Linked DNA regions of Rattus norvegicus. The protein of the gene in region 1 purifies or fractionates together with the protein of each later gene. This does not show direct contact. Links are inferred from orthologs where the notes say so. Each region holds a gene or a part of one and is shown in the gene's direction. Other genes may lie near its edges.

What was found.
Region 2: the proteins of Tceal1 (region 1) and Usp11 purify together in Homo sapiens (affinity purification with mass spectrometry; 4 studies listed by BioGRID, counting the BioPlex papers as one, with this or other methods). This does not show direct contact. The link is inferred for Rattus norvegicus from reciprocal best matches to the Homo sapiens genes TCEAL1 and USP11.
Region 3: the proteins of Tceal1 (region 1) and Kdm3a purify together in Homo sapiens (affinity purification with mass spectrometry; 3 studies listed by BioGRID and IntAct, counting the BioPlex papers as one, with this or other methods). This does not show direct contact. The link is inferred for Rattus norvegicus from reciprocal best matches to the Homo sapiens genes TCEAL1 and KDM3A.

The regions. Positions count from the first base shown.
Region 1 is NC_086039.1:104,847,703-104,854,814, forward strand, and holds Tceal1 (transcription elongation factor A protein-like 1), read left to right. Parts: upstream 1-3,110; 5' UTR 3,111-3,207; exon of another isoform or gene 3,208-3,211; intron 3,212-3,554; exon of another isoform or gene 3,555-3,586; intron 3,587-3,942; 5' UTR 3,943-3,972; coding exon 3,973-4,470; 3' UTR 4,471-5,022; downstream 5,023-7,112.
Region 2 is NC_086039.1:4,030,899-4,038,027, reverse strand, and holds part of Usp11 (ubiquitin carboxyl-terminal hydrolase 11), read left to right. Parts: intron 1-2,734; coding exon 2,735-2,844; intron 2,845-3,016; coding exon 3,017-3,147; intron 3,148-3,313; coding exon 3,314-3,431; intron 3,432-3,801; coding exon 3,802-3,947; intron 3,948-4,089; coding exon 4,090-4,151; intron 4,152-4,271; coding exon 4,272-4,371; intron 4,372-4,715; coding exon 4,716-4,889; intron 4,890-4,978; coding exon 4,979-5,137; intron 5,138-5,477; coding exon 5,478-5,702; intron 5,703-5,822; coding exon 5,823-5,906; intron 5,907-5,999; coding exon 6,000-6,094; intron 6,095-7,129.
Region 3 is NC_086022.1:105,229,003-105,236,231, reverse strand, and holds the start of Kdm3a (lysine-specific demethylase 3A), read left to right. Parts: upstream 1-2,861; 5' UTR 2,862-3,016; intron 3,017-3,120; exon of another isoform or gene 3,121-3,147; intron 3,148-3,272; exon of another isoform or gene 3,273-3,355; intron 3,356-3,579; 5' UTR 3,580-3,609; coding exon 3,610-3,795; intron 3,796-7,229. UniProt on the Homo sapiens protein: Histone demethylase that specifically demethylates 'Lys-9' of histone H3, thereby playing a central role in histone code.

The DNA.
Region 1 (7,112 bases):
AGTCATTATCTGCAGGCTCAGGCAAAGAATTACTTTTTTTTTATTAACTTGAGTATTTCTTATATACATTTCGAGTGTTATTCCCTTTCCCGGTTTCCAGGCAAACATTCCCCTCCCCCCTCCCCTTCCTTATGGGTGTTCCCCTCCCCATCCTCCCCCCATTGCCGCCCTCCCCCCAACAATCTAGTTCACTGGGGGTTCAGTCTTAGCAGGACCCAGGGCTTCCCCTTCCACTGGTGCTCTTACTAGGATAAAAGAATTATTTTTCAGCAAAGAATTACTTTTACTAAAAGTGACCTTCATGTCCGTAAAAAGTATCTTGAGCAATGGTTATTATCAAACTTCACTCGTCAGAGGTGTTATCTACACCAACAATAGTGGTAGAGTCATACTCTTCAGCAGTGTGACCTTCAAATGTAGTGACTTTTAAAGTCAACCAAAAGCAAGTGAACCTAGAGAGATTATTTGGGTTTTCTTTTGGTTAAAATATGTATTGCAAATCCTTTCCTACCTTCACCTCTTTTCCTCTTTTGACTGGGCCTTTGTATGTAGATCTAGTGACCCAGAACTCTCTATGTGGACCAGGCCTGCCTCTCTGTTTGCCTCACTCAGTGCTGGGATTAGAGAGTTGCACTGTTTACAACTGGTTAACGGTACTTAAAGTAAAAGAAGAATTAGATAATATGGTAATATGTCATGTTATTATAATTACCCATATTATATTAGAGTTAATAACTTACAGAACATGTTCTATATGCTAATCACTATGTCAGTTGGTATAAAAGTACTAATTAATTAACTCCTTCACTCCTCTCACGGATCCAATAGGGTAGATAGTATTACTGTATTTACTTTTATCAATGAAGAACTGAAGTCTACTAAAGATTGCTCACTGTACCTCAGAGATGGAAAAGGAAAAGAACCAAATATAAATTCTAGCAGTTTCCACAGCATCAAGTGCACCTACCAAGGCTAAATGTTATTTTTGTTACTTTATGCATTTTTGTAACATTCTGGAAATGAGAACAAGAGGCAATATTTGTGAACAACTGGGAGTCAGATTTCAACTGGAAGCAAATGAAAGTAATCACTAATGTATGAACATTGAATGTGAAAAATTCAGTGCAAATGTTTTATAGGCTGTCCGGTGTTCATCACAGGATGTCAGAAGGAAAAAACAGGAATGAAGAAACTAATAAAACTGGACTTCCCTAAAAAAAGAAACCACAAAAAAAAACAAAAAAAAATCCCTTTATGGTAGATTAAATAAAGCATGGGTAAACTTTGTTTTAAAGTCACTTGTCACAGAATAAATGGAAAAAATCTAAAGAATTTTGGGTAAAATATACAGGTAAACTAACTTCTATCTCAATACAAACTAAATCCGATGCTGAGGAAAGTGACTATGTCACATATGGATTTCTGTTCACAGTCAATAGTCAAGGTTTTAACAAAAGAATTCAAAATCCTTGCAGATCTGATATTTCAAATATGAATCTGTGTTCAGAAACATCACAAAAATGCCTTAGGTTTAGAGCAAACGTAGATTTCATAATCCTTAGAGACCTGATGGCCACTTACCCTGGAAGTATAAAACTGAAAAAAAGTGTTCCCTCTCTGCAAGAAAAATCTGTCTGAGAATAGCATTCATCCTTTCTAGATAGATGAGAAGTAGGCTAAAGGTTAAAGATAATAAAAAGGCACATCCCAAAACAGGTACCGGTTATGATGACAACAAAAGATGTATACATGATTTGAATCCTACTACTAAGTATGTGGTGAGCAGAATTATTACATACATAGTTTAGTATGCAATGTCCTATCTGATGCACCTATGTTTTGAGGTTCAGATATCTCAAGACCCAAATATTTGTTGATTTAACAAATTAATTTAGGCCTTTTCACCACAAAATCAAGAGCTGGGTACTAAGAATTTGGGGTTCCTATGAAATACGTTCCTTCTCCTATGAATAGTAACTGTTGAATGATAATGATATAGGGGAGAAAATAGTAGGTGCTATAGTACCTACTATTGCTAATAGTAGAGCAAGTGCTCTCCTACTTTACATAATACGAGAGTTCTCTTGACTATCTTGAATGTAGATGGACACATGAGTATTTTAATTTAGGACAGTACCAAGTTATTATATTTACATAATTTACAGACTTAAATCTTTATAGAGGTCTAGAACCGGACGAGCACTCATTTATCCCAGAGTTTCTATTTATGACATAGTCAAGGAGTAAAATAAACATAAATAAGGGATTGACAAGAAAAAATGAAAGTAACTACCAAGGAAATGACAGGAGATTAAAAACATGATGTGATGAGGATATGGATTAAGCACAAATATTCGTACTTGAGAGTTTTTTAATTTATTTATTTTATTTTATGTGTATGTTTTACTGCATGTGTGTCTCTGTGCCATGTGCATGCCTGCTCCCTCTGAAGGTGGAATCCCCTGAAACAGAGCTACAGGTGACTGTAAGCTACCAGGTGAGTGCTGGCAATCTCACTGATATCCTCTGTAAAAGCAAGTTCTTCTAACTGCTTAGCCATCTCTCCGGGGTTCAAAAAAAGTTTTGTTTTGTTAATGGAATATTGCTATGTAGTTCTGTCTGGCCTAGAACTAGCTGTGGAGAACAGGTGGCTCTCCCACTTGAGGCAATCCTATCTTCTCTATATGCCTCCCCCACCTCAACCCCACCCTGAGTGCTGGGATTACAAGCATCTGCCATGTTGTCTGACCTGACCATGTTGCCTTGTGAAACGGAGGAGAAACAGTGAAATTTCAGGGCAGGGTCTCAAAGACGGGAGGGGGCGGGGGAAGGGGGCGACCTGTAGCCTCAGTAGCTGAGCGAGAGTGGAAAGTGAGAGGTAGGAGAAAAGAAAGATAATCCTGGGGAACAAGGGAGCAGGGAAGAAGGAATAATCCTGAGGAACTGGATGTTAATCGTCTCTAGTAAGCAAAAAAGGCAAATAGAAACAAAGAGAGGTGACTGAAAATTCCCGTTGTGTCTGAGGATTCTGGCAAGTGCTGGCAAATGGACGCCAAAGTGGTTACTAGGGATCTGAGCCTAGCCGTGACGCGCGCCCCTCACGTGACCAGGAGCCTATGTCTGCCCAAGACCCTCTCTGGTCCCGGTCCTTTTTGCCTGTCCAGACACCGTCTTTCTATTACCGTTTGGTCGAGAAGGAAAGCAGAAGTAAGTAAGTTCCCTGGATCCTCTAGGTTTGGTGATTGTCAGAGGTGCCTTGTAACCTGCGGGATCGGACCTGCAATGCAGAATCCTGATCTTTCACTATGCTGCAGCCCCGCCCCCCCGCCCACGGTTTTAGTACAGAAAATGGTGGTCCTGGGAGTGGGGTGAGGTACAAAGAACGATGTTCCACGTGAGGTCTGAGGAAGGTGAACCCCAATGGAGCGGTCTTTGGGCGGTTAGCTGGTCCCCACATAAAGGGGTGTGCGTCATTGCTGCTGTTTCTCTTCCCTATCCCCGCCCCCTACCCTGCCTAGCGTCTAACTGTAGATTTGCGGGTCTCACTTAGGCGACTCAAAGGGGAGCACACCGGCCGGAGGTTGGGGTAAGGATGATCAATGGGACAGGGTCGGGGTCTGAGAATGAACACTTATGGTATCAGTCTGTGGACTTTACTGCTCCGCCCCTGTCACTGCAGGAGAGGCCTGTGGCAAGGCCTGCTGGGAAAAATGGTGGTCTTTCGGGAAGGAGGGGGGCTTGCTGCACAGTAGCCGGCCTAAGGGCCCAAGAGCTTCTGAGTGAGCTAAGATTTAAAGACACCGGTCTCAATCAGGCAAAGGCAGAGATTGAAACGCGTAGCTGGGGTGTTGATTCATCCCGCCAAGTATTGTGACTCTGTTCTGTTTTTTTTTTTGTTGTTGTTGTTGTTTTTTTTTTTTTTTTCTGTTTTCTTGTCTCAAGAATAACTGCTTGGAGAAGAAACTTCTCAACATGGAAAACTCACACAATGAAAGTGAAGAACAACCACAGAGCACTCCAAAGGTCGAAGAAGAGCAGCCTGCAGTGGAGCAGTCTCCTGAAAATCAGTGTTCTGAGGATGATCAATCCTCAGAGGATCTGTCATCCGAGGAGCAGTCCTCCGACGAGGAGTTCTTTCCTGAAGAGCTTCTGCCTGAGCTGCTGCCAGAGATGCTGCTATGTGAAGATCGTCCTCCACAGGAGTGCCTCCCACAGAAGAACGCGTTCGAGGACCGTATTCCCATGGAGCAACCTCCCTGTGGGATAGGCAAACACAAGCTAGAGGAAGGAAGTTTCAAAGAAAGGCTGGCTCGTTCCCGCCCTCAGTTTAGAGGAGACATCCACGGCAGAAATTTAAGTAATGAAGAAATGATACGGGCAGCGGATGAGTTGGAAGAGATGAAGAGAGTACGAAATAAACTCATGATAATGCATTGGAAGGCAAAACGGAGCCGTCCTTACCCTATTTAATGTGCCCCACTTTTCATTGTTTTGCTTGCTAATAGCATTTGCTACCTGGCCCTTCTGTTTGCATCTTCTAATATGCCCTGTCCCATCTTAGTTGTAACAGTTGGTATTCAGGTTGTGCAGTTTTATTTCAGGTGTTTGACTTGTAACTGGCACGGTTTTGTTTGTTTTTAATCCTCTAAAATCTGTGTGATCCATTTGCATGGAAAGACAAACATTATATAGGTGAGGTGATAAAAGCAAAAGGTATATACATAGCATTCCATTTTTGTAAAAGGAAAACACATTTATATATTAATATGCAAAGAAAAGCTAAAATCTATATACTTAAAGGCTAACTAACATTGGTTATCTGTGTAGTAAAGATAATAGGTGATTTTTATATTTTTTAAATTTTGCTTTATCCAAAGTCTCATTTTTCATGATGAATACATTTTATTTATGTTGCACAACAAACAATATAAAGAAAAATGTGAAGCAAGTCTAAAATCAAAACTTGTTCATCAGCTTATAAAGACAATGTGCTCCTTAATAAATATTTATCAGAACTTAAAAGTTGATCCGATGTTTCTTCTGAATCTCTTTTCTAAGATTGATCTTATTTTTTTAATTTGTATGAGTATTTTGTTTATATCAGGTGTGTGAATAGTGCCTGCGGAGGACAGATGAAGGTGTTGGATCCCCTGGAACTGGAGTTACAGATGGTTGTGAGCCACCACATGGATGCTGGGATTTGAACCTAAGTCCTCTGGAAGAGCAGCAAGTGCTGGTAACCACTGAGCCATCTCTCCAGTCCCTCTTCTGGATCTCCTAAGCAGAAATAAAAAGCGGGATGTTTATTATCAGTAGGAGTAATATTTTCCAAGTTAAATAGGACTAAGACATACCTTAGACTGTGGTGGTGAAACTAAATGAGAAAAGGATCCTTTGAGCTCTTTCTTTTTTGGTAGGCCCTCCCCCAACCTCTACAGACTTGGTTGAAGCATGGGAAATTAATAGCTGAAGAATATCTCACTTGTGCTCAACAAAAAATTCCTGTGAGATTCCACATGGGTACCACATTCTGTTCCTGTTCTGCTGTACTCTGCCTTACCTGCCAGGTACAACTGCCCCTTCTATGTCCTGCAGTTTTCACTGTTCCTTTTGCAATCACTAGTGAGCTGCAGCTTGTAGTGCAGCTCCTCTCGACCTTTGGAGAATGTCCCTTCTTCCAGCTTTACTGTTAAACATACACAAGTATATATAGTCACAATGCTGTTAAGACTTTGATATAGTAAAAGAGTGCTCAACATTACTTTTAAATGCTAAGCAAAATGGCCTTTTTCCATGATTTTTATCTTAAAGTCCCTTTTTTATCCTCCCTAATTCAAGCATGAGGTCACTGAGACCTGGGATAGGAAGCCAAATTTGTAAGATGGACATCGTGCTGTGTAATTAGAATAGAAACTCCCTTTCCAAATATGAAAAGGGGGCTTCTATCTTGTCTAGTCCACTCGTGCCTTTGAGGCAAAGCTTCCATGCTCATGCTCAGGTTTCTGCATGTGTCTAGCATGCCTTTCTCTCTTCTGTTCAGCAAAATCCCATACAATCAGTCCCAGAAGATGTTCCTAACTGTCACCAAACCAAGTTGTTAGATGTCCTTTCCTGGTGTGTCTAAAGTACCAAGTGACTTCAACTTTTATTGTAGAAGCAACAGCAGCAGAAGCAACAGCAGCAGAAGCAACAGCAGCAGAAGCAGCAGCAGCAGCAGCAGTAATAGTAGTTGTTGTTATGTGTGTTACAATTATTTTAGGCATCTACTTCTGTGAATTGGGGAACTTCTCAAAATAAAAACCTGTATCTTGCTCACTAGCGCATCTAAAAGAGCGCAGAGCAAATACTCATTAAATATAATCTTCTTGAGCCAGATAGCCAAGAGGCTGGTGCTACCTCCTCTACTCCAACCTCTGTTATTCACAGCTAAAGCTGAGGTTGTGTCCATTAGTGAGCTCTTGGTATGAACAGTAAGCTGCTTAATGTGCAAGGCCACAGCAGTGGAAGCCTGGCCGGAGCAAGTGCTTTCTTTTGGGATGATCTGGGTTCCAGGGAAGGTGCTAGCGGCCTGTCTGGAGGCTGTTTCCATAAAGAGTAACTGATGGTTCTGTTGCCTCTCAAAATCTGAGGCATCTTACCAAATAACAGAAGCCAATTATTGGAAGGTCATGGTGGTGGTACAGAATAGATTTTAGTGTGATGAGCTCGGTGATCAGAACTGGCTGCATGATCATCCTAAGGACCACACGAGCTGACAACTTCCAGTGAAGAGCTTACAGAAGAACTCAAAATCGCTCGTTTTTACTTCATATACATGAGTGTTTTGCCTGTGTGTACCACATACATGCAGGGACTGCTAAGGTCAGACGAAGGCCTCAGAACCCCTGGAGCTAGGATTGCAGAACATTTTGAAGTGCCATATGGGTGCTAGGAACCAAACCTGGTTCCCTCTGCAAGAGCAGCACAGGATCTTAACTGCTGAGCCATCTCTCCAGTGCCTTATTTAAGGACTTTTATGGCACTGGACTTCAGCAACAGATGAGTCAGTACCAGGGCACGCATTAATCAGGCAGTAATCCATTTCCGAGGCACATCCTGATATTATCTGAAGG
Region 2 (7,129 bases), about 100 Mb from region 1:
TTCACAGTGTCATTATCTTAAGTTTGGAAAGACAGATCAACAGGACCTAGTTGTGGGCATGGTGACTCATTTGTCTGATTTCAGCATTTAAGAGACCAAAATGGGGATTGTGGCAAGTTTGAGGCCAGCCTTGGAAGAATATTTAGAAAACAAGATGAGCATGGTAACACAACATCTGAAGTTTTAACACTTGAGAACTAAAGCAAGAGCAGAGCAACACAAGTCCCAATCTAACCCGAGCTACCAAGTGTGTCTTGTCACAAGAAAGACAAAAAGTTTTATAAGAACATAGTGGTAAAGATTATTAGGCTTTTATGGTCATCTTCGTGTAGTTCAAGATCAGCCTGGGCTACATAAGACTTTGTCTCAACAACAAAAAAGATGAATTGAGTTGAATTGAGTATGTAGCCATTCATTCATAATGCATCCTTTTAGTCCTGGCACTCTGGAGACAAAGGCAGTTGAGTTCTAGGCCAACCTGGGCTATATAATGAGTTCCAGGCCAGTCAGGGCTACGTAGTGGGACCCTGTCTCAAACAAAAGATATTATGTAAAAAGAGGAACTGAAGAAATGGCTCAGCAGTTAAGAGTACACACTGCTTCTAGAGGCCCTGAGTTTTCTTTTTTCTTTTTCTTTTTTTTCCAGAGCTGGGGACCGAACCCAGGGCCTTGCGCTTGCTAGGCAAGCGCTCTACCACTGAGCTAAATCCCCAACCCCAAGGCCCTGAGTTTAGTTCCCAACACCCACATTGGATGGCACACAAACACCTGTAACTCTAGCCTCAGGGAATCTCATGCCTTCTAGCCTCTGAGGACCTTTGCAATTACATGCACATGCTTGCACCCAGGCACACATACACATTACTAAAAGTATAAAAAAGCACTAAGAACTGGCAATAATTTGGTAACAAGAAACAAGTGACTGAAGATCTAAGTCTTAATCATCTTTGGGTGTATTGGCCACAGGATAATGGGCAGTAAAGAACTCACTAGTATGCCTTTATGTGTATTTAGATGTATTTAAATAAACTTGATAGAGCAATGTCATATTTATCACCTATAAGTTTTTTAATTATGCAGGATGGTGGGGATATGAATAATGAAAGAATTCAAGGCAGAAAAGGGCACAAGAAGAGAGTTTATTATGTAAGAGATGGCTTTTGTTGAGGCAGGGGTGTTCTGTGCAGGTAGTTAAGCAGTATTTCAATGATGCAGTGCCCTGGAACATTTGTAGTTGGGGCTTATGGCAGTAGAGTTAACTCTTTCTGGCCAGGTAACAGTCAACAGTGGCCTTGCTTTGTAAAGCCCATCCTGCCCTGAGTCAATAGTGCTCTGTTGTGAGGCTGTCCCAGAGTGGTGTCTACATTTATTTTCCCCGTTTGTGTGAGGTTAAGTTTCTAACCCTGGCTGGGCTCACATTCAAAGTAATTTTCTTGCCTCCCAAATGCTGTAGTATCTAGTGTGGTGCACTGTGTGTGTGTGTGTGTGTCTGTGTGTGTGTGAGTGTGAGGAAGGAGAGGAGAGAGAGAGAATTCAATGTAAGACTTCTTATGTGTTAGGTAAATGGTCTACCACTAAGCTATATCCCCATCCTAAACTAGCTGAAGTTTTGCTAAAGAATGATTTTAATATTAATTTTCTTCTAAATCTGTGCTTTTAGGAAGATGAGGGGCTGGAAAGATGGTTCAGTGGTTAAGAGGGTTATTGCAAACACTCAAGTCAGGTAGCTCACAATTGCCTGTAGTAACTCCAACTCCAGGGAAGATCTGAAGCCCTTGGTTTCTGTGAGTACCTGTATTCATGTATACATTTCTATCCACAGACACACAGGGATACAATAATTAAATAAAATCTTAGCTGGATGTGGTGGTGCACACCTTTGATACTAGTACTTGGGAAGCAGAGGCAGGCAGATCTCTATGAGTTTGAGGCCAGCCTGGTCTACTGAACAAGTTCCAGGACAGCCAAGGCTGTTACAGAGAAATCTTGTCTTTAAAAAAAAAGCCAGAAACTAAACTAATGTTTTTAATTGAGCAGTGTCCCTCTTTGCATTGAAAATACTATTACCTATAGCTTTATTAAGTGAACTTCATAAATGGTAGAGGCCAGTAAAGCTGGAAGGAGGAATGACAGTGTAGAAGTTGATAGGTTGAATGATAGATTTTCAGGCATGAGCTCCTAGGTAGGGATGTGTATTTTTTCTGGAATAAGTGATAAGGTCTGGGGAGTTGGGAGGGCAATGTACAGACAAAAAAAAGCCAACCTAACCAAACAAACACAGAAATACAAAGTCAAGTGTGATTTATGTCTATAATTATAGTTTGGAGATTGAGGCAGCCAGTTCTCTGCTAGCCAGGACTATGTAGTGAAACCCTGTCTCAAAAGAGACCCCAAATCAAACTCACAGCATAGCTGAGCCATGAGATTATGTACACAGCTTTTAATCCCAAGATTCAGGAGGTCGAAGCAGAAGGAACCAGAGAGCTTGAGTCCAGCTTGGGTTACATATGTAGTATGTTCCAGGCCTGACTAGACCTGGTACAAGACCTCATTTTAAAAAAAATGGGAATGAATAAAGAAAAAAATCGAGTTATCCAATACTGAAATGTGCATTTCACTGAATAAATTTTGCCTTTTACTTATATTTACATAGTGCTGCTACAAGTAACTGCAAGTGATGAAAAGTTGTATAGCTAGCTCCTGAATATGACACCTTTGTCTGTCTGGGTTCCAGGTTCCTTGTGGAGAAACACTGGTATAAACAGTGGGAGGCGTATGTGAAGGGAGGGGATCAAGATGCTAGCACCTTTCCTGGCAGTATCAACAATTCGGGGCTCTTTGAAGGTACTAAGCTTCTGCCTCTCCCCATTAACCTTGCCCTGGAATTCTGATTCCTTCTGTTCCCACGAGGGGTCATATTCCCATTCTCTATGCTTAGTCATTGGTAGGGTGGTCAGAATTAACAGTTCCTTTCTTAATTCATGTTTTACCTTGTCCGTACTCCCTACACCTGCAGATCAGATAAGCTGGCACCTCAGGGAGAGACTGGTAGAAGGAGATGATTATGTGCTGCTCCCAGCGCCTGCTTGGAACTACCTGGTCAGCTGGTATGGCTTAAAGGATGACCAGCCACCTATTGAGCGCAAGGTATATATGGGTGGGGTAGATACTGAGGGGGTGTGTGTTAGATATCTCTGGGAAGTTGGGGAAGAGGAAGGCCGTGTAGGCTCAGGGAGGTACAGAATTGTGTATACCTACATTCTTTTGTCAGTTGGGTGGGCTTTTGAGTGTTGGTGCTCCTCTGCCTTCACAGGTCATAGAACTTCCTGGCATTCGAAAGGTGGAAGTGTACCCAATAGAGCTGCTGCTCGTTCAGCACAGTGATATGGAAACAGCTCTCACCATTCAGTTTAGCTATTCTGATTCTGTCGGTAAGTCTCAGGGTCTCTGGAATAAATTCATGCTCCTAATCATGGGTTATATCTCAGTGAACCTGAGGATGTGTGGGGACCAGCCTACTGCATCCTGAGAAGGCACCAGTTAAACTGTGGGGGAAGGTGGCCAAGTCAAGCACAGATACTGGGTGTCTTCTAGAGTCTCCAGAAAATGGGCTATATTCCAGTTGCTTGGCTGGGGTGGAAAAGAGTGTTTATTGGAAAGGTCTCAAATTCTGAGTTTGTAAGCGTGAAGAATGATCTGAGGATACAAAGTATTGGCCAAGTAAGCAAAGTCTGTGAGAACGAGTTAACACTATCACATGGGGTCCTAGAAGATGTGGTCATGTTTCATCACCCTCTACAGACCTAGTCTTGCAAACAGCCCGGGAGCAGTTTCTGGTAGAGCCTCAGGAAGACACGCGCCTCTGGACCAAGAACTCAGAGGGCTCTTTGGATCGATTATGTAACACGCAGATCACACTGCTTGATGCCTGCCTTGAGACTGGGCAGGTAACAGTGGGGGGGGGGGGATTCCTCTGTGCTGGTAGCCAGGTGGATGGATTCCTGGCACTAGTCAGACGAGGGAAGGGCAGGGTGCCCTTGAGGCCTTCCATTAATACATTCCTTTTTTCTTTCTCTACCTTATACCCAGTTGGTCATCATGGAGACCCGAAACAAAGATGGCACTTGGCCCAGCGCTCAGCTGTGTGGCATGTGAGCCCTTGGGGTGTCATGCAGAGTGGGGGCACCCCAGAGTAGGCAGACAGAACCTAAGAGTACAGAGCACCCTCCTATAGTCGACCTTAGCTCATAGGGTTTCTCATCCAACCCCAGGAACAACATGCCGGACGAGGATGAGGACTTCCAGGGCCAACCAGGCATCTGTGGCCTTACCAATCTGGGCAACACGTGCTTCATGAACTCGGCCCTACAGGTTGGGCTATTAGGTCTATGTCTGGCAAGCTATAGTGGTTAGGTATTGGGGACAGAGCTAGAGGTTGGGATTGGGGGAAGGAAGATTACAGTACAAGGGGTCAGATGGAGAGCTAAGGCTCCATGAATCTGATCTGGTGTGCCCACATTTGCTCCCTATTCTCCCTCCCTCCTTTGGCACCTTCCATTTTCCTTCCCCAGAGATACTGATTTTTCCTGATACTGCATTCACAATGGCAACCCCTTACCTTTCTCTCTCTCATTTCCCTCTCTCCCCCTTCCTTTTCTGTTTTTACCTATGCCACCCTACCTCTCTACCTCTTTCATTGGGCCCTACTACCACAGTGCCTCAGCAATGTGCCACAGCTTACGGAGTACTTTCTCAACAACCGCTACCTGGAGGAGCTCAACTTCCGGAACCCTCTGGGCATGAAGGGTGAGCTTGCTGAGGCCTATGCAGATCTGGTAAAGCAGACTTGGTCTGGCTACCACCGCTCCATTGTGCCGAATGTTTTCAAGGTGTGTCTCAACCCCATGGGCTCCCTCCCACCATCCTTTCTCTTGCTTCTCTTATCTCATGCTCACTCTCCTATCTACTGTCTCTTCAGAACAAGGTTGGCCATTTCGCATCCCAGTTTCTGGGCTACCAGCAGCATGACTCACAGGAACTACTGTCATTCCTCCTGGATGGACTACATGAGGACCTCAATCGAGTCAAAAAGAAAGAATATGTTGAGCTATGCAATGGTGCTGGGCGGCCTGATCTGGTAGGCTACCCATTAAAGCTACATGGCCACTGCCTTAGGAAGTCTCTGGTTTCCCCAGTCTATCTAATACCTTACCATTTTCTCAATTCCCTTACTTTGACCTTCACCTCAACCTTAGTCATAGCACTAAATCTGTCCCCATACCTATCTTAGAGTTAACTCCAGTCAGGCTCCTGTCCTTCATGCAAAATGCCAGCTCTGAAAGGGAACATGGGTTCCAGATAGATCTAGCTGTGACCCTGCCACTAGGCTTCAACAGAGTCCTTTACCTCAAACCCCTATGAGTCCATCCCCAAACTTTCCCCTCTTCCCCTAACCTACCATGACATTTGTTCAACAGGAAGTGGCTCAGGAAGCCTGGCAGAACCACAAACGACGAAATGATTCTGTGATTGTGGACACTTTCCATGGCCTCTTCAAGTCTACACTGGTGTGCCCTGATTGTGGCAATGTTTCTGTGACCTTTGACCCCTTCTGCTACCTCAGTGTCCCACTGCCTGTCTGCTCCAGGAGGGTCTTGGAGGTCTTCTTTGTCCCCATGGATCCCCGCCGCAAGCCAGAACAGGTGGGGTTATGGGAACACAATGAGGGACATTAAATCAGAATTTGATTGCCTTCCTCAAGCTTTTCTATATTAACCTACTATAAGTTCCTTTGATCTTCTGTGGATGTTATTTCTCCTCAGCACCGGGTTGTAGTCCCTAAGAAGGGCAATATCTCAGATCTGTGTGTGGCTCTGTCCACACATACAAGTGTTGCACCAGATAAGGTAAGACTTTGAAGAGGGAGGCTGGGCAGGTAGGGTTTAAAGGAAAAAGAACCTTGCACACTGACTGTCCCTATGTCCTTTTCCTATTACCAGATGATAGTAGCTGATGTCTTCAGTCACCGATTCTATAAGCTCTACCAGCTGGAGGATCCTCTGAGTGGCATCTTGGATCGTGATGATATCTTTGTGTAAGTGAGGAAACCGATACGAATAAATAGAGGATGGTTCCCCCACCTTTTGTTTTGCCCTACTGGGGATAGAACCCAGAATGCACAAGCATGTTAGACAAGTACTCTTAACATTTGAGCTACACTTACAGTTCAATACATATATATACTCATAAGTATATATAATATATACAATACTTTTATAAGTGTAGAAAATAAACATGAATATATATAAGTATATATAATATTTATATCTATATAATAGATCTGTATCATGAGAGAGAGAGATGGTCTCTCTGTGTAGCCCTGGCTGTCCTCAAACTTAGAGATTCATCTTGCCCCTTCCTCCCAGGTGCTGGGATTAAAGGTGTATGCCATTATGTCCAACAACCTGCTCCGATAAAAATGTATTCATTATTTATTTAGAGCCCAAGCTCCCTGCATATTGGGCAAGTGCCCTATCACGGAACTATGCCCTGCTTCCCACAACAGTTTTTAAATTTGGAGCAACTAAAATGGTGTGAGTAGAAATTTTCTTTGTAAATGAGTGTTTTCCACCAGAAAATGTTTCCATCCTTGTTTTTATTACTCTCCTCCAAGCATTTCCATGTTAGCAAGGCTCTTCCTCAAACGGCATATAAAAAAAGTGCTGTGGAAGTTGTCTGGTAGTTTATAAAATACCAAGTCCTTCATGGATTTTCAGACCCTTTAAAATATTTTGGGACAAGGCTAGACAGAGGACTAGCCTCTTTCAGAGGATCCAAGTTCAATTCCCAGCACCTACATGGAGGCTCACAACCATCTGCAACTCCAGCACCAGGGATGCCCTCTTTTGGCCTTTGCAGTCACCAGCACACATGTGATACATAGATGTACATACAGGCAAAACACTCATACACATAAAATAATGATAAAATACTTGGGGGAGGCAGGTAGAATGGCTCAGTAGGTAAAAGCACCTGCACAAACCCTGACAACCTGAATCCATGATGAGGGAAGGAACTGACTCCTGAAAATGTATTCTGATATCCACATGTGTATGTATCATACATGTGT
Region 3 (7,229 bases), on another chromosome or scaffold:
TCACATACCGGTAGCCAGTGTTACAAGTTTAATATATTTAATGGACCACATAAAATATTTTTATATGTGTGTTAAGTAATGACTTCACATGAAGTACTTTTCTTCAAAGAGCTTTGGTAATCTGTTGGTACGTGTAGAATTTTTGATTCTTTTTCAAGTACTCTGAAACTTCACTATATGTCACATTCCATTTATTTCTTTTATCTATTTTTTTCATCTTTTTCTTTCTTTTGTTCATTTTTCAGTTTCAGGTAACCCCCCACCAGCTTTGAACTCCTATATACCTGAGGCTAATATTGAATTCTTGATTCTCCTGCCTCCATTTTCCAAGTACAGAGATTAGTGTGTAAAGGAGCCATTATTCCTTGTTCTTTTTATTCATTTTATTTACTCATTTTCCAATTGAAGTACATTTAGATTATTTCCATTTTTCTTCCCACATCCATTGGATATGACTTGTACAATGCTGACAACTGAATGATCTTACCCTTTCTTCCAGTCCATTATCTGTTAGTTGTTTTCTCAGGGTTACCACATGTACATACACACACAAACACACACATTGGTTTCTAGGAAGCTCATTAAAGTTTTAAGCTCATGAACATTTAATTTCTTTTTAATATTTCTGGCAGCTCTATCAGGAATGCAATGGAAAATAAGAGAGGTAATATGGGAAAGAACATTACTAAAATGAATTACATATGAAAATGTCCAAATAAAATCCATTATTTTATACAATGATTATAGTTAATAGTTAGCAATAAACATGATTATTTCCCAATACCTGTACTAAATAAAAGAACTTTCCATCTATGTTTGTATTTTGTTGCTGTATTTTTTTGGTTCTTATTTGGTAATAAGACTTTGTAAGTTCATAAAGTATACTGGATAGCTCTCCAACTTTTCTTGGTTCTGGAATCATGAATAAAAAAAAAATATTGTATGTGTTTTAGTAGAAGTATGCCTAAAATGTTTTTCATGTTTTAGTGGAATTTATGTCTTTAGCAGTTAATTTCAAGTTATGTGTCATGTAATCTAAGTCTTCCACATCCTCTTGTTTTTAAAATTTCTGAGATAGATTTATAGTATTTAATGTGATTATAAGCTGTCAAAACCTTCTTGTAATTTAGTACTATTAACTTAATACTTTCAGTTAGAATAATTCAATAATACATATTATTTTATAGAACCAATCCTTTATTAATATAATTTTTTTCTTTTTATGCTTTTACTCTTAGTCATACACTGTGTAACAACATTATGGTGAATGACACATTACATATACAATGGTGATCCCATAAGGTTTTCTCAGTGACATGGTAGTTTTTATAAGCATATCGTTATCAATATGATGAAATCACCTAACCACCTTTTCTCAGAATATATCCTCATTAAATAATGTATAAAGATGCTAATGTAGTTTTCCTCTGATTAGTCTTATAAAAAATTTACCGTAATAGTTTCAAGCTTCTTATGCTGTACTTAATTCTTATGTCAAAAAATTTTAAACCACTAAGAACCTCTCCATGTTTATTTATAAAATTAACCCATTTATATTTATTGTAAATACAAATGGACTTATTCCTGTCATTTTATTTTTAACCATACTTTCTTCTTCTTTCTTTTGTTTTTCTTGCTCCCATTTCTGCCTTTTGTTGAAGTGGATAGGTTTCTTCATTCCATTTCCCATCTCTTAATGGTTCGAATATCATAAATTGAATTCAGTTTTATTCAACTTCAGCATTATTTAAGCTTTAACATCCTGACGTCATGTATTCAAACCAAGTATTTTTCAAAATGAACATCTGGCACTAATTTGCATTGTGTATTCATTTTCTACTACTTTTTGAACTTTTTCTTAATTCTCATTTTCATACTTTTAAAATTAAATTTCCTTTCATTCTATAATAAAGATTAAGTGCGATGCTAGGTCAAACACCAGGCTTCATAAAGAAGTCTTCAATTATTCATTCCATTTTCTGATTCAACCAAGAATCCTCTGGTCCAAACCACAAAATCGTCTTTTCTCTCCTTTGTCTTTCAAAGTCACCTCTTCCATTAGCTCTTTAATCATCAACTTCATCTCCTTTTTCAATTTCTTTGTTGTCTCAAAACATCTTATATCCACCTTACATTTTTTTTAAAGAAACCCTGCATTCCACATAGTTTTGAATAAATTGTTTGCCTTTAGATTTAATGAACATCGTTTTCCAGCAACTCCTTGCCTTTCTTCATTTATCCTTCAAAATGGCGGACCTAGACAGTCATGATCAATACCACGTGCGCCTGCGCCTCCAGCGGCCATTTCACCCATCAACCCAAGCTCCAGAGTCCGCCCCTTCTGGCGCCTGCGCACGAGCCCCCGGAGCCCAGTCGCTCCTCCCCCTCTAGCTGCGTACGCTTGAAACCGCACGTCCCGGTGCTGTCCCTCCCCCGCAGGCTGTGTACCGCCCCCGCCCCTTTCCCGTGAGATTCTTCCGCCTAGTGGAAGGTCCGTCTTTGCTCGACAGCCTACGCGCTTCAAGTGCAATCCAATAGGCGCTCATGGTCCTGGGTCTCCCCATTCACTCTTATCTGTGAGCCTGTGTGATTTTCTTTTCTGGCCTCAAAGTCGATAACCGATTCGGCGGGACTTTTTTGCGTAGCGCGAGGCAACAAATGGAAGAATGGAGCTGCGGCGGAAGGATCTGCTGATCGCAGTCTGCGCGCTTTAATGGGGGTCGGCTTCCAGTCGGTGCTGGGAGGGGGGAAGGGAGGAGGCAGCCAAGGAATTGTTTTTTTTTCCCGACCCCGCCCTCTTCAGTTTAACCATTAGGAACCAAGAGTTTCCTTGGCTGCCCCGCCTATCCCCCGCGACTCAGCCAATCATCGGTGGCAGCGGCTCCGAGGGGGCGGGCCCGGGAGGCTGTGCGTGTCTTGTGTGAGAGAGCTCTTGAACCAAGTCAGAGCTAGAGTCGGCTGGGCGGCTGGGCTCTCTTGCCGCCGTCGCGGGTGACTCAGGGAGGCGGGAGGCGGGGTAAGCGCTCCGCGGGCCTCGGCTGCGGGAGACAGAGGGAGAAGGGTGAAGGACCCGCGCGGGCGGTCGCCGCGTCTTCTCGGTTCACGGTTCAGGACGGGCGGGGGTGCGCCCGAGTCGGCGGCCCGGAAGCGGGGGGCGGGGGCGCGGCAAGTGTCGAGTCTCGAGCTAGTCCACGGCGGCTCCGAGGCCGCTCGGGGCGGGGACCGGCCGCTGGGACGGGCCCTAGGCACTGAGGGAGCCTTTTCTTTGCCAGGGCGAGGGGACGAACACTTAGGCAAAAGCACTGGCGCTGCGGCTCAGTCCTCCCTTCTCTCTCTCAGTGTCCAGCTTTGAAAGGTTTGGAAAAAGCGAAAGTTGTTGGGGCGAGAGGGTCACGCGGCACTCCGGCGGGTGTTTGCGGGGGGGAGTAGTGGGGGGGTGGGGAGGCGCTGGTGGCAGCTTGGGGTGCGGAATCCACCTGCGGGGGTGTCACTCCACCGGTCCCCGTCGGCGCTTCGTCTTTTCGGGCCGCCTCCGACCTCGGCCGCCCCCATCGCATTTTGTTTTTGTGCCTTCTGCAGGGAGGAGCCCTTCCTGCTGGCGTGGAAACCATGGTGCTCACGCTCGGAGAAAGTTGGCCAGTATTGGTGGGGAAGCGATTCCTCAGTCTGTCCGCAGCTGAAGGCAGCGACGGCGGCCACGACAACTGGGACTTGGAGCGCGTTGCAGAGTGGCCCTGGCTGTCCGGGACCATTCGAGCTGTTTCTCACACTGACGTTACCAAGAAAGATTTGAAGGTAAAAAAGCAAAAAGACGAAAACAAAATACAAAACCCCTAAACAAACAAACAAAACCATCTTCTGGGGGCTGGGCAGTCAGACGGTTTTCAGTTACCTTGGTAACGGGACAGTCAAGCGCCCCTCCCTCCCTTTTCTGAAATGGGCCACTAGAAAGTTGGCAGGTGATCAGGAGGTGCAGAACTCTAGACCATGAAAGTCTTTGAAATGGTGTGTAGTGTTAAGGTGTGTTTGGCCTAGAGCTCCAGTGGCCCGAGATCAATAGTGGGTTTAGGATTGTTCAGACATGCTTCATTAACGCAGGCACTGGGTCCCGCTGGGACAGTCTGATTATGCCCTCAACGGGAGGAATATTGTTTATTAGTAATAGGTTAAAGAAGTGGATGACATTTAGAGTCACCATTGAGGGCTAGCTTGGAAGTGCTTTCAAAAATGAAGATTTCAGGTGGGGTGTTCCTTTTTATTTCTTCATTCAACTTCTTAAACTTTACAACGTGGAAATGGAGTGTGAATGTAAGGGAAGGAGCTTAGTTGTGTTTTTTAGTTCTGTTTGGCTTGTTCGGTGGGTATTTGTGGATGTGTGGTTAGTGAGGCAGGAGTGGGAGGGACTCTGGTTGTTAATGAGGCTGGGTTGTTGTGGGTACAGCCATGTATGGAAGCCTTGGGTGGAGCTGTCCCATATAGGGTGTTTGAGAGGAAGGAGAGAAATGGAACCGTGTGACCAGCGAACACATTCTGGAAGGAACCTTTTTCAGTTAGATCTTTTGAAAGGAATGAATTCTACTCTGTGATACAAATATTGGTGTGACAAAATAGTAGGGAAATAACCAGTGAGGAAGCCATTGTGCCCACAAAGACTCCTTGTGCAAAAACATCTGAAAGAAGATTCCTAACAAAGGCTCCATAGTGATTATAACTTAAAGAAAGTTTGTCAAGACAGAAGATATTTCTACTCTGAATAATGTGCATGCCTTGGGATCTTCTGTTTTTGCCATTTTCTTGAAAACTACTTAAAGGAAGCAGGTTTTAGCCATTGTGAGTTAAATGTTGATTTCTGAGACACTTCATTTGAACTCAGTTCATGCCTATACTATTATGAGTCTTGAGAGGATCATTGGAAAAAGTTACTTGCCTATGTGTTTTCAGAGTTTCCACCATGTGCCTTGTGTTCGTGTTGCAAAGGAAAAATGACCCCTGGGCATTTAACCTCGTTGCAGGCATCATAATGATCACTAGCAACTGCACTCTACTTGGTCCTTACAGCAGTGCTTTGGGCTACTAAGGACTGTTTGTTGTTGATCCCATGTTACTGATGAAGACCTGTGCCTGGGGAAGGCTGAGGTTCATGGCCTATGGGCCCCATCCTTAGAAATTAACATGGCCTGTACTCCAGTCCAGGAAATTTCCCTACTTCCCCCTTAGCCATCATGCTGCCTGGTCAAAGTTGTGCCACAGAGCTGCCACTACTTGGACTCTGAAACATGTCTTTTCTCTTCCATTCCACTTATCTACCAAATCAAGGTTTAGAGGCAGGTGTATGCAGATGACCAGCCTGTTTGCTCTAGGCTAATAACCTTTGTATCTAATATAGGCTCATGTACTAGATTTCAATCGTAATTGTGGGGTTTGTCTTTGTTTTTGTTTTGTCTGTCAAGTTAAAGAAGAAATTCTAGTATATTTATTTGATCTGATCTAAATGGGAGCAATATTTAAACTTTATAGTTCTTAGTTCTTGGGAGGTTGACAAGAGACTAGATTTCCTTCTCATGATTAAGGGCCTGTTGGACTTCACATGTAATGTAAAAGGTCTTTAACTTATATTGTTCCCCCCCTCCCAAAAAAAAAACCCTTTTAGGGGGAGCTTCACTTTCAGACAAGTCTTTGGTCTGGGCTGCTGTAATTAGTTACTAAATAATGATGGGAGGACTTGAATCAGTTTTTAACAGTGTATCTTCTAGGATTTCAGTTCAAAAACAATTTTGTTATGGGTTTTGCCTGAGAAACTCTTACAACTCAGTCCTTCTCTTAAGGTACAAATCTGCTTCGGTTTGTCCAAGCATTTACTGCTACATTCCCTAGTTGATCGCAAAAGTAATTAAGTTGTATTTAACAAAAATGTATCTTACAACTCTAGAACCAAGTTATATTCAGTGAGAATAAAGCAACAACCAGTAATTAAAACCATGTTTACATCTGGGCCTAGGGGTCTTGATGGTTTGAGGGTGTCTTGTGATGGAGTTACTAGGCTAAATAAAAGAGAATTTCAGGTTGTATGCAACTGTTTATTTACTGTGTGCAAGTCCAGCTTTTCTGGATGAAGGAAAACAAGTCGAAGGCTGCTTAACATTGTTTCATCTGGAAAACACTTTGTAACAAAAGGAATTTATAGGTTAGAAAAGCAATATCCAGAGTAGTGGATTTTGAAGAAGTTAAGGTGAAAACATTGTTAAAGTAGGTCATTGTTAAATAATTATTCTGTGGTGTCTTTTGAACCCTTCTAAGTGTCCTCAAATTGGGTAAGTTTTGGTTTTTTGTTGTTGTTGTTTGTTTTCTTTTTTCTTTTTCTTTTTTCTTTTTTTTTCTTTTCTTTTTTTTTTTTTTTTTTTTTTTTTTTTTTAGTGTAGGAAGTGAGATTGAAAGAAATTAAATAACTTGTTCACGCTTCTCTCCAGACCTTAGGCAGTGGCTTTCGTTTCAGTTAGAGTGGAGGTAGGGTGCATTATTATGCGAGTTTCTTTATGTCTAACAATGGAACTTTGCTTGGCATTTAGTATGTGTTCAAATACTTGGATGAATAAGTGAAGGACTTAGGAGAACTTTTCCTTTGCTATGGGGAAACAGGAATAACTTACTGATGAGGCAGAGACCGTTTCCTAGATTTAAGGACTTGTTTTATCTAACCCTACTGTGTCTTCTTGAGCGGGAAGGGTACATTTGCGTGTTGGGAAGGTCCTCTACCCCTACTTGCCTATGTAGGTCTTTAGTTTCTTTGTCTGCTTTCTTGAGTTTTCTGCTCCTTCCTTTGGCTATCTTTAGCAAATAAGTATAAACTGTTTCTTACTGTTGTCAGCAGTTAGATGTTCTCTGCCCTGTTGAACTGTTAGAACTGGAAAATTGTGAATCCCACTGCCAGTGAAGCTGTGTGAAACTAGAAACTCATAGCACAGTGCAATAAACAGTTTACCTCTTACAATTGAATGTTAGGTTATAGAATTTTCAAGTAGCATTGCACATATACATATATGCACACTCATTGAATTCTTTTGAATTTATGGAGTGGTGAAACATCTAGTGCTCTATACATTATAAAGTTGGCATAGAGTCAACATATAATCAAAACTACACTAACCACACCATTCTCTGAACTTGGAAACATTTTTCTTGGCGTTTCAATGGTTTTACAATTATATACCAGGTGAGATGAGTTTAAACCA